Linked DNA regions of Danio rerio. The protein of the gene in region 2 interacts with the protein of the main gene of each other region in a biochemical or structural test. Links are inferred from orthologs where the notes say so. Each region holds a gene or a part of one and is shown on either strand. Other genes may lie near its edges.

Evidence for each region. The genes of interacting proteins can lie anywhere in the genome.
Region 1: the proteins of tfap2a (region 2) and eps15 form a complex in vitro, tested with the Homo sapiens proteins (2 studies listed by BioGRID). The link is inferred for Danio rerio from reciprocal best matches to the Homo sapiens genes TFAP2A and EPS15.
Region 3: the proteins of tfap2a (region 2) and kctd15a form a complex in vitro, tested with the Homo sapiens proteins (2 studies listed by BioGRID, with this or other methods). The link is inferred for Danio rerio from reciprocal best matches to the Homo sapiens genes TFAP2A and KCTD15.

The regions. Positions count from the first base shown.
Region 1 is NC_133183.1:18,336,763-18,341,019, forward strand, and holds the start of eps15 (epidermal growth factor receptor substrate 15), read right to left. Parts: upstream 2,805-4,257; 5' UTR 2,787-2,804; coding exon 2,760-2,786; intron 1-2,759. UniProt on the Homo sapiens protein: Involved in cell growth regulation. May be involved in the regulation of mitogenic signals and control of cell proliferation. Involved in the internalization of ligand-inducible receptors of the receptor tyrosine kinase (RTK) type, in particular EGFR.
Region 2 is NC_133199.1:9,069,340-9,072,785, forward strand, and holds the end of tfap2a (transcription factor AP-2-alpha), read right to left. Parts: intron 2,629-3,446; coding exon 2,487-2,628; intron 1,906-2,486; coding exon 1,617-1,905; 3' UTR 502-1,616; downstream 1-501.
Region 3 is NC_133200.1:21,631,496-21,635,564, reverse strand, and holds the start of kctd15a (BTB/POZ domain-containing protein kctd15-like), read left to right. Parts: upstream 1-1,265; 5' UTR 1,266-1,722; coding exon 1,723-1,734; exon of another isoform or gene 1,735-1,988; coding exon of another isoform or gene 1,989-2,000; intron 2,001-4,069. UniProt on the Homo sapiens protein: During embryonic development, it is involved in neural crest formation. Inhibits AP2 transcriptional activity by interaction with its activation domain.

The DNA of each region.
Region 1 (4,257 bases), on a different chromosome or scaffold from region 2:
GCCGCGTCGCGGGGGCACTTTTGATCATTTTGGAAGGGCACTTTCTATCCAAGACTAAAAAGGGCATGTGCACTGCACAGGTTGAGCCCTATGTGTGCACGTGCCTGAATGGCAGCACAAAATGTTTTATATACAAAAATAGACGACCATAAAATATCACTAATTAAAATATAGGCAAAATATTCACATGATTCTTCCAGATAAGACTCCAAAAGATTTTTCAAAACATTTAGAGATGGAATTGTTTCAAACATGATAACACTCTGCATTTCATTCCATAATGTAGGACCAAAGGAGGAAAAGGCTGTTTAACCAAACCCCATACACACTCTAGGAACAGTCAAATGTAATAACAAGTATTATAACTACAAGTATAATATGATTAAAGGTTTATTTACACAACATCACAGATGCATGTTTTTGTAAAAGCAACATTCTGATTGCGATAAATGTTTTGTGATAGTGGGATTCCTTAAAACAAAACTATTTCATGGCTGCTTCCAAGTATTTATATTTGCCGTGTGTACACGTTCAATACTCGTTTTAGATTTTTTTTCACATTTAATTTTAGAAATTAATGAAATTACAATTATGAAATCAAACATTTTTGTTATCTATAGATATTGCCATTATAACAACACCAGGTTTAAGGTTGCACTCCCTTTTTTATCACCCTTTTTATTACCCAATGGTTTTTTATCTATACCAAACTTGAACAGACTAGAAGAATCAACAACAGAACAATGTAGCAATAAGAGAGACATTTGGAGTATTATGGCCTCAAATATGAGAAACATGCAATAACTTAATATAGCCGAGCAGAAAACAATCAGTCACATTTAATTTTTAAGATAAAGGCTTTGTGACTCAAATACATAATTCTGCTTTTGAACAATTCCATGCAAATGTCCACCTTGCCATGAAAAAAAATAAGTTTTCACCAAAATATGGTAACCATTTCTACAGTAAGTGTTTTGTGTAAGCAAGTATTTTACCGCACTTTAGAAATACTTAAAAATCTCTCTCATTGTTTTTAAACTATAATAATTGATTTACCAAAGTCAACTTCACATCAGTCACATCCATAACGACACACTTTTTCCGCATAAATGCAAAAATATTAAATAAAATAAAATCAATTATGTTTGTTCTAGAGAGCCAACTCTTATACTTTTGACTAGCATAATTTCTTTTGGAATGTGCCGTTTAACTCACAGAATTTCTACAAAGTATGTTGTATAACTCAGACATCCTTTTTTGGTCACGTCCACAACGCATGTTTATTTCCCTTATTTAATGTATTAACATATTTACAGATTGATATTTTTCTGATCTCCTAACTCTGGTCAGTTGTTCTGGAAAATATAAACATATGTTTCAATATAATGTTAACATATATATTTTCTTTGTAAATTTATGTTTTGAGTTTTTACTGCAAATGTCACATCCATAACGCTGGAAATGCTCTTTTACCTCCTGTTTCCTTGCAATAAGTTCTTACCAAACCTATGCTCTTTGGCTGCACAGAAAACACTAAAGACATGACAGATGTATGTCCTTCTCCTCCTAGTATTCTCGATGAGCTAATGCTGAAATGCATATTTCATGCATGTGTGCTTTGCTTCTAAACTAAGAGCACCATCAGCTGCATGTGGTCAACACTACAACCACCACTGCCATTAAAGAAACGTCTTATTCTTAAAGCAATAAAAAAGACAAGATGCAAAGTGAGGAGCATTTCAGACCATCAGTTCAATCAATGCATAATTCCCTGTGGACTAGAAAAACATGCATCTAGAATGCACATGCAGTCAGATATTATCTATAAATGTCACATTAATATTTGCTCAGAACATGCAAAGAGCACATAGGAAATATGTTCCTACTTAAATGTTTAGAGATTTTTGGCACTTTTTGACTTATATTACTCAACTATAACCTTTTTTGAAGGTTGACCATCAGTTTAGCCAGCTAGCGGGCGAGTGTCAAAAATGCTTTAGCTAGCAGGCTAACTAGTTTAAACAGTCGAAAAGAATCCCAAAAAAGTTGTTACGAGTAGAACAATAAAGTTTATAAAATAAAAATACACACAATAAATGTAATTCAGACGTTTTGGACTATATTAGCACCAAACAATGTCTAGTTCCTATTTTTAAAAGGATGAATAGAGAAACACTGAGCTAGCAGTGCAGCAAAACTTCCTGCTGCTTTACAATGCCACTATAAACAGACTGCCATATACTAATACATTACACACCACTAAACCAAACCCAATGTATGTCAAAAAATGGCCTTAATACGATCATTTAAAGGTCATTGTGCCATAAAATGAAGTCGTAATCATCACTGCAGCTCCTCTTTCAAGTTTTCAACGACAGTTTTACAAGAACCTCCACACGTCCATATGCGAGACATTTTAAAGAAACATGACCTTAAAAAGAAAACAAACAAAAGTTGCCACTTTAGATGAACAGCAGCTACGAAAAAAGCTAGAAAAAAAATACATGTAAATCCACCCTAGTTTAACACTGACACACTAAGCTACGCCCTAACGCAAGTCCCTAAAAGATCACACTGAAACTTTTTCTCTCCACAAGCAAATGGCTGAAAACAACTTTAAACAGCTGCGACCAGACAGCGGGCTGTGATCGCTTTCCGCCCTAAAGCGCACATTTAAAGCTCAACAGATCTGGTAAACCCATTAGAACCGCTGGAAAGTGGCCTGAAGAGTGCTATATTTGTGTAGAAAGGGAGGTTACCTGAGTCAGGGAGAGACTGGCAGCCATAGTGTTTCTGTTCCCACTAGTTCATCCTGCGTTGCGATAGGCAATGGGCAATATAGGTATGCTACAAAACCTGGCACTGGAGTCCTTGGTGGATTGGAGCAAAACAAAACCCGGCGGTGCATTGTTCGGTGGATCTGTTGGTGATGATGGGACAGCCAATGACTGGTGATGGCGCCTTACAAAATAGACACTGGAATAGAGTTCTTAGTGGAACAGGAGGACATAAAATAAAACACGGAGAGGGAATACCTGGATCAGGAGATGAAGAAGTGGTGAACTAATGCGAGATCCCTCTTTTTTTCACGGATATTTTTTATTCATGAGATTTTCAAGCAATACTAATAATAATAATAATGATGATAATATTAACAACAATAATATTAATTATAATAAATGAATATAAGGAAGAGTAATTCTAGGATTTTTATTTTAGAAGGGCTCAAACCTAATAAGGGTATAATAATAATAATAATAATCATAATCATAATAATAATAATAATAATAATAATAATAATAATAATAATAATAATAATAGGTGGCATGGTGGCTCAGTGGTTATCACTGTCACCTCACAGAAGGTCGCTGGTTCAAGTCGTGGCTGGGAAAGATGGCATTTCTGTGTGAGTTTGCCTATGTTCCTGTGGGTTTCTTCTGGGTGCTTTGCTTTAACCCCACAGTCCAAACATGCGCTATAGGTGATTCGGGTAAACTAAATTGTCCGTGGTTTAAAGGTGTGTGTTAATGAAAGTGTATGGGTGTTGTCCAGTACTGGGTTGTGGCTGGAAGGGCACTCGCTGCATAAAACATGCTGGAACAGTTGGCAGTTCATTCTGCTGTGGAGAATCCTGATAAATAAGGGACTAAGCTAAAGGAAAATTCAATTAAATTCAATTCATCTTGATTTCCATAGCACTTTTACAATGTAGATTGTGTCAAAATGAATGAATAATAAATGAATAAACATAAGAGGAGATTCTACTTACATTTTAGAGGGGCTCAACCCATATAAGGGTAATAATAATAACAACAACAATAATAACAACAATAATAATAATAATATAAAAATAATCATAGATAAAATTAAAAAATAACTAATAGGTTAGGTTGTAAATAAATTAATTGCATTATGGTAACATTGAGTATTGATTACTGAATAAGCAAATACAAGACCTGTTTACTGTGCTATCCACTGTAAATTTGACTTTGCATTTCTATGCTCAACATTTTTGTTTCCACTTATAAGAAAAAGGAGAAAAAAGTGTCCACTTCTCTAATTCAAATTAAAATAAATTAAATCTTTTACTTTAAGGCTTTAAAATATTTCACAACTGGGTCATTAAAAACAATATTTAATACAAAGCTTGTGATGTTTCATGTCTGTTGTCGAATAATTTCTCAACATGACAGAACGCTACTGCCACACTGTAGATTTGAATTCAGAGATATATTATCATTTAAAACATGGTAGTTT
Region 2 (3,446 bases):
TTCCAACGAACTGTAAACTGATTTCAGCAAACCCATAGATTTACATTACAATGACATAAATATTTATCACGGCATTGCTGACAGTGTATCAGGAAAAGTAAGGTGGCGTCTACAAATAAAGGCATGGAAATGGCAACTGCACTAACCTTCAGCTGGATTCTACATCTGACTGATTTAAAGAGCACTCTTGCTCGAGGGCTAAAACTACACACATTCACTTCAAACACGAAAAAGAATTCATTGTTTTCTGTGTCATTTGGCTTGGCAAAAAAGCTCCCTGCCATATTTGAATGATCTTGTTCTCTGAACTAAGAGTTGAAAGTAAGTTTTTTTTTTTCTTTTTTATATTTGAGGGAAACAATGGGTTCAACTGCTTATTGCATGGAGCAATCGTCAAGGGAGAGTTAAACTCAATTACAGTAACTGTGTTGAATAGAAAAGAGAGAGAGGAATAAATCGCAGCAAGCAGTGAATAAAAAAAGTAATGAATAAAAATCGACATGAAGCGTATCAAATATTTATTTTTTTTCTGGGCAACAAAGAACTATAATACATTGACAGGCATGGGAGCTATTGCCAGCACAGGTTTATACAATACAGATAAAACCGCCTCCAATTTAGACAGTGGACACACAAAATATCAGATGGTCCCAAATGTTGAATTTATTCTAAAGAGAGAAAAAAAATCCATAGACAATATCCATTTATTGCTCTTGTGGTGCTTTGAGGGAAGAACAAGAGGTGATTGGCACAACACATAAAAAGCTTGTATAAAAAAAACAAGAAGATAGAAACACAAAACTAGCATCGTCGGGGTCTCTTTAATGACCTTCTTCGATCTAAAACTGAATGGCATAAGGATCATATGTAGAAAATGGATGTTTATTTCTTTTCAATTTGTTCACTTGCTTCAGTGTCGCCTCAACATGCTACAAGAGGGCTGAATTGAAATATCCCAGAGAAGAATACCCCAAACTTCTGTTTTCTAAGAACCATAAAACCACATGAAGAACTAAGCGAATATTCAAACCCACTAAAACAGGAGGCACCAGATAAATAAAAAAAAAGTTTGAACAGACGTACCATATTTACATTTCCCATTAAATTACACATAAATAAATATATACATACATGAACACAGATTCCCTCATATAACCGTGAATCGTGTTGAAATTCAAAGTTCAAGTTGGTCGCTTAGTCGAGTGAAAAGTCAGTTTTTAAAAGTCATGGCATGGAGCTGTAGATTTCTTTTTCAAGTTTATTATTCACAATACTGATAGAAAATCTTCCTCTTTCAGCTTCTTCTTGTCACATGGCTACAATCGTAAATTGGGATACTGAAGGGAAATCGCTGAATTTCAGTCCGTTGAACTCATACAAAGGAAGTTCATGAAAAGTCCAGTTGTGGCAGATCTGTACTCCTTTCATTGGCACACTGCTTTACTGATTTAGAGAAGTGCATTGTCCGCAAATCCCAGAATTAACTGTGTGTTTTATTAATTAAAAAAAAACTAAATGCCAAGATCGGAAGGTGGTGGGTTCAGTGTTTCATCTTGATCACTAGTGTGTTTGTTATATGTAGTTTGTCATATTAGTTGGGAGGTGGTGGTTGGATATCACTTTCTGTGCTTCTCATCTTTGTCACCCGCTTTCGACCCCGTCTCACTGTGGCTGTTGGGATTGTTGTTCAGGTACATTTTGTCCATTGCTTTAATTGCCTCCGTCAGATAGTTCTGCAGAGCTGTGAGGGCCGCACAGACGGCCGGAGTTCCGAATCCGTGAGAAATAAGACTGAAGTGGGTCAAACAGCTCTGAATCCCGGGCTCGAGAATGGGTTGTGGACGTGAATTCCCCAAGGGCGAGCGGTCTTGAGACAGCAGGTCCGTGAACTCTTTGCAGATTTGTCTAGAAGGAGACACAATGCAGGATGCGTGTCAGGAGGAAGCTAATTACAGCTGATGCTATGACGTCATACATGTATTAGTAAGACTATGTGGTCCATATGTGTCCTTTAATCGATGACACACGTATTCCGTTTGACAGTAGCTGGATGGGCAGTGTCGTGTCATAGCGATGGACAATTCACGTTCAGCTTAAGAGAGCCGCATCTATGTCAGAAACGGATGAGGGAGTCGTCTTGTATGTTTTTATTCTAAATCGTTGTTGTTTGCAGTCTTATGTGTTTTAATTGACACTGGTGCTGATCTTTTTTATTTAAACTTTTTTTTTTTTTATTGCATCAAATATGCCGATATATTTCATTGCAGAAAGCATACCGTTTCGTGGAATATTTGAAATATACTTCATAAAACCAAACGGCTCCAAAAAGCAGGAATTAAACCAGCTCTGTTTATTAAAATCTAAATGTAACAAATTTTTAGTACACGTATAGGCGATCCAGCATAAGGAATGCTCAAATAAACACGGAAATAGGTCATAAACAATGAAACACGCTTTGGCTTTTGGATAGAGAGAATAGCACTTACTTCGTAGCCAATAACATGTTTTTTCTTTGGACTTGTTCGTTTGGGTCGGAGTGCTGTCGGTTCATGTATTCAGCTATCGCCTTGGCTGGAAACTCAGTCTCACATACATAACCGAAATCTCTGGCCAGATGCACAGCTTCACCTAGAAGAAAATGGTAGTCAGTTTGTGTAACGTTACTAAAATGCAGTACAGTAATTTACATTTTTCATGATCTTCATCTAATTAGCGTTTTCGTCCAACAACCAGGATACGGCTCTCAGTCCTTTTTTATATTAATGCATCTTTATTTTCCATTAGTCCACCTAAACTAATAATAATAAGTCTGCCACATAAATTCGTTAGAATGTACCTCCCTTTTGAGATTTTAGACTAAAAGTAAACCTTCTTCCTATAGGCCTACTTTTGGTATATGCATGACAGGCTTCCACGAATAGGTCTGTGCTTAGTTGATTTTTACTAAAGTCTTTGGTTTTAATTTCCTGAAACAGTTGGGTTTTTACTGCGAGCCTTCCTGTCATAAGCCTAGAATCTGGAAGAACGCATGCGCCAATTAGCATCAAAGCTCAACTCTAAACTGCTTTCCATAAAATGGAGCAGATCATAAACAATAACAGCACTTCAGAAAGCCAGTGTCCTCCGACTAAATCAGCGTCTGCTTGCGTGTCCACCACCCCCACCCCTCGCCCTTATCTCACAGGAATCATACATTTCTTCAGGCTCATTACCATACAAGACTAAATTTCAATGAAGCACGATGAATATTACATTCAGTCTTCAGCGTCAATGATTAACAGGAACCAATGAACCGTCTCCAGCTTTCACCTTTAAAACCCATGGCACACCAAATACCACTGCACGGAATAATCACCTCCAACTTTACAAGCAAAATGGATTTATTCAAAAGCAATGGCATCTTCGCAGTGCAACATAATTAACTCATTTATTTTTTATAATAGGCT
Region 3 (4,069 bases), on a different chromosome or scaffold from region 2:
TGAAATGAGCTTAATCAAAAATTCTTAAGCCTTTTTGGGACAATTTAATTGTTTTACGTAAAACTAACTTAAATTTGCAAAAACAATGATGTTAACTTATTCGACTTTTGTTGGGACAACAGGAAGGAATTGTGTGGAAGCCTGCATCTTTTTACAGTGTTTTCCCCTGTTTTTTACTTTTAACCATTATCCTGTTATACATTAACTCATTGCAAATTAAATAATAAACTAAATTTTAAAAAAGGCCAAAAAATAATAACGGTTGTGGTAGGTTTGGTCACTGGTTGGCGCCAGATGTCAAGGTAGAGAATAAACATTTCCAGAGGGACAACATTGCAAGTGTCAAATGTGTTGAAATATGAATTCTGGTGTCCTTGAAGCATTTATATGATATCAAACAAGAACAAGAACGCACATAAAAGCGACTTTTAGGTCATGAAACGTTTATTTAAATTATAGCCTATATAGTTCTCAAACTGAATTCGTGGAGGGCCGCACATCTGAAGTTTAGCTCCAACTCTAATTAAACACACCTGATCCAATTAATCAAGACTCTTTTGAACACATTGATTAATTGGATCAGGTGTGTTTTATTAGATTTGGAGCAAAACAGAGCTACGGCTCTCCAGGAATTCAGTTTGAGACCCATGATTTAAATGTGTAGTTATCTCATTTGACTTTAAATGTCCCACAAACATTAAAGCTTGTATTTTTTTATTTTTATTTTACTGTTTCTAAAACTGTTGTATTTTTTTAGCCTATTTCAATTTACCTTTTTCTAAGCGTCGACATAAACCTATATTCATACAGAACTCTGAATATATTCGTTGTGGAAATGCTGTAAACCCGTTTGTAGGCTGCGTTCACTTTGGTCACTGGTTGGCGCCAGATGTTAAGGCACAGGGCATTTCCAAGAGATGGAGAGTAGTATTAAAAGGGTCTAAAACTGTCAAATATGCTTTTTGTTAAAGCCTTTCCTTTTCAGCACAATGCGCCCGTCTTTCCACCTGAAATCTGTGTGCCATCGAGGCAGACATCTCTATCTAGCCGCGCGCAAAAATTGAAATGGCGCGTTTGGCCCGAGGCGGTTGTGTGGGCGCCTTTGCAGAGGCACAATGCATATCGATATACGTCATTTAGTTTTCATGGCCAGCAGAACATTATTAGGGCGCCGAGAGACACGTTTGGAAGCAAATTAATTCTTCCATTAAAATAGAAACATCAATCAAAAAAGACGTTCGTAGTTAGAAAATACAGTAGGCTATATTTTGTGGGTAAAGTGGTTTAATACAACAGCCTTCTTCTTTTTCCCACTGAAGGTTAGCCAAAGACATGCACACAGGTAAACCGTTATCCTCACACGCGCGCGCGCTCATCATATCTTTGTTCAGACGATGAATAAATAAATGACGATAAATGCGACGAAAAGACACACATACGCATCCTCCCAAATGCGAATAGCAAGATCAAATGTTGTTCTTGTAACTCGCCCCAGCTCAGGCAGGGTTGAGCTAATTGTAGCCTAATCCTGCCCCGGGGCGTTTGGAGAGCCTTGAGCAAGAATTCTTGTTCAGCTGTCCTCTGTTATTCGGGCTGGAACGCTGTGCCTTCAACGCACTCTCACGCTTCAACAAAAAAGGAGCAAGAAAGAAAAAAAGCGAGGCTAAGACACGCCACCATCGATCTCATGTTTTAAAGAGGGCTGAAGATACATTTACAGCTATGTCTTCCAAGGTAAGGACGCAGCCTTGACTGACTCCCCTGTGTAGCTTTTGTGGAAAGTGTCTATAGCAGTCTGTGTTTTAGGCGAGTTTTTAAAGCCACAGCGACCTATATAGCGCTGCGTTCGCACCGGCGTTAGATTTCCGCTGGATTCCGAACGGATTCTGTACGAAGAGCTCTTGGAGAAAATATTACCAAAAGTTCTTTCTAGAGGACGAGCAAGCTTCATCGGAGAATCCTCCTCAGATTGCGTCGGACATCCTAAAATGTTTGAAACGGTACGGTACAGATTCTGTCAAATTCTCGAGTCTTTTCTCTTTATTGCATTCGTTCTCAGTGTGTCGTGCTTTTGCAGTTTTAGATCAGGGAGGGCTGATTTGGGTATACAATGAGAGGTCAGAGCACTACTGTATGCCCATTGCGTACAGGAAGTGCGGTACATAGAGTTGTAGGGCTATTTTACGCACTCCTGAGACCTGGCGCAGTTATCATCAACTATTATTTCGGACTTTGATGAGATCTTACTTTGCACTCGCTCGTAGCGGCAGATTCCTTTTCACTACAAACATCAATAGTTAGCTTTTCAAGTCATGACATGATGTTCATACTATTGAAGCGTTATATATATATATATATATATATATATATATATATATATATATATATATATATATATATATATATATATATATATATATATATATATATATATATAACATTAGACATTACTCACTAAAAATGCAGTTCGTATTTTAGTCAGTTGTTGATTCAACCCTTTCTGAAAATGTCTGTTCATTGAATGAAGCATTTGGTGTTTGACTGATTCCAAGTTATGAGGCTTTTGAGTGACTCATTGAATGATTCGGCTCCCAGGAGTCGTTACTTCGTTTTTCTAAACTGCTACTGCTTTTGAAATATGGGTTTCTTATTACTGTGGCGCAGTATAGTCTTATAGGAACGAATGGATAAGGACAAATTAAAACATATAGCCTTGTAAAAGTTGTAAACAATTTTATAATTAATATAATGTCTTTAGCCGTGACTCTGAAGATTAATTGATGTTTTTTAGTAACAAAAATGTAAATTTTATATATTAATTCTATTATTCAATTTCACTTAAACTAACCATAATAACCTGCAGTTCATTGACTGAGATGTTGATTCAAACCGTTCTTGACAAATTCAGCGTTCATTCATTGAATAATTTGACACGTTGATTCTAAGTTATGAATCTTTTGTGTGATTCGTTAAAAGAATTGGCTCATAAGAGTTGTGCTACAGGCAACCTGTCAGGCTGTGTTTGATTTTTCGTAATTTATAAGAAATTTATTTGAAATGTTTATTTATTGGTAGACAATTTTTTAAGTTCAAATTGAAAATGATTTATTGCTCACACGTGGGATACAAAAAAATAAAAAATAAAACCTGATGTTTTAGATGCAATTGAAAATGTTTAGCTAATATTGTAGCTTATTATTAACGTAGTGTTCAAGTATTATTAATATTGATTTTTATGAACAAACTTTTCATTCAGTTAAGAATTCAACAGATTTGCGTGACTCATTAAAAAAACGACTCATAAGAGTCATTTGTTCATCATTGGAATGCATGGGCTTCATTTTGTTTGTCTTTTGGATCTTAACATTTGAAATTTGCATTCTTGAAATTGTTTCACAGTATTTTAATAACATTTTAATGACATTTGATAAAAATTATCCAACATTCATGTCTTTATACAAAATAAAATTAGCAGTTTTTTGGCTAATGTGAAAAGTGTGTCAGTTTTCTGGACACTGCTATTCAGGTCAGAAATCATTTGTTGACCAACAAATACGATGAATTCGACTTTTTAAGTGACTCATGATAAGAACCAGCTCAAATTAAGAGTCATTTGATTGTTATGATTGTTTGTTTTCACATAGAAGAAATTGAAAATCTATTTTTCCCATGTAATTATTTGGTGGTAGTCAGAATTTTAATCAAATATAATTCAAATGAATGAACACTAACATACTGAATACACATTTTGTCAGCTGTTATGCTGCGAGTCCATTTTTTCGTAAGTAAATCCTGTTTAGTTTCAAAATAAGTCTTTAAGATATCTTTATATTATTAAACTTATTAATTTCAGTAGCTTTAAATGCAACTATAGCTAAAACATGGATACATTTACATTATTTGGCCTTTCATAGATAAATCTAAAGGCTTAGACACAGTCCACAAGTCTTTGACGTACAACTATGGGCAGACTTTGCTCCAGGCATTGTGCTTCCAGAAATGGGACTTTAACCATCTGTTTAGGCAGGATTGTTCATTTCTCCAAACAAAAGGTTGATTCATGCCACAA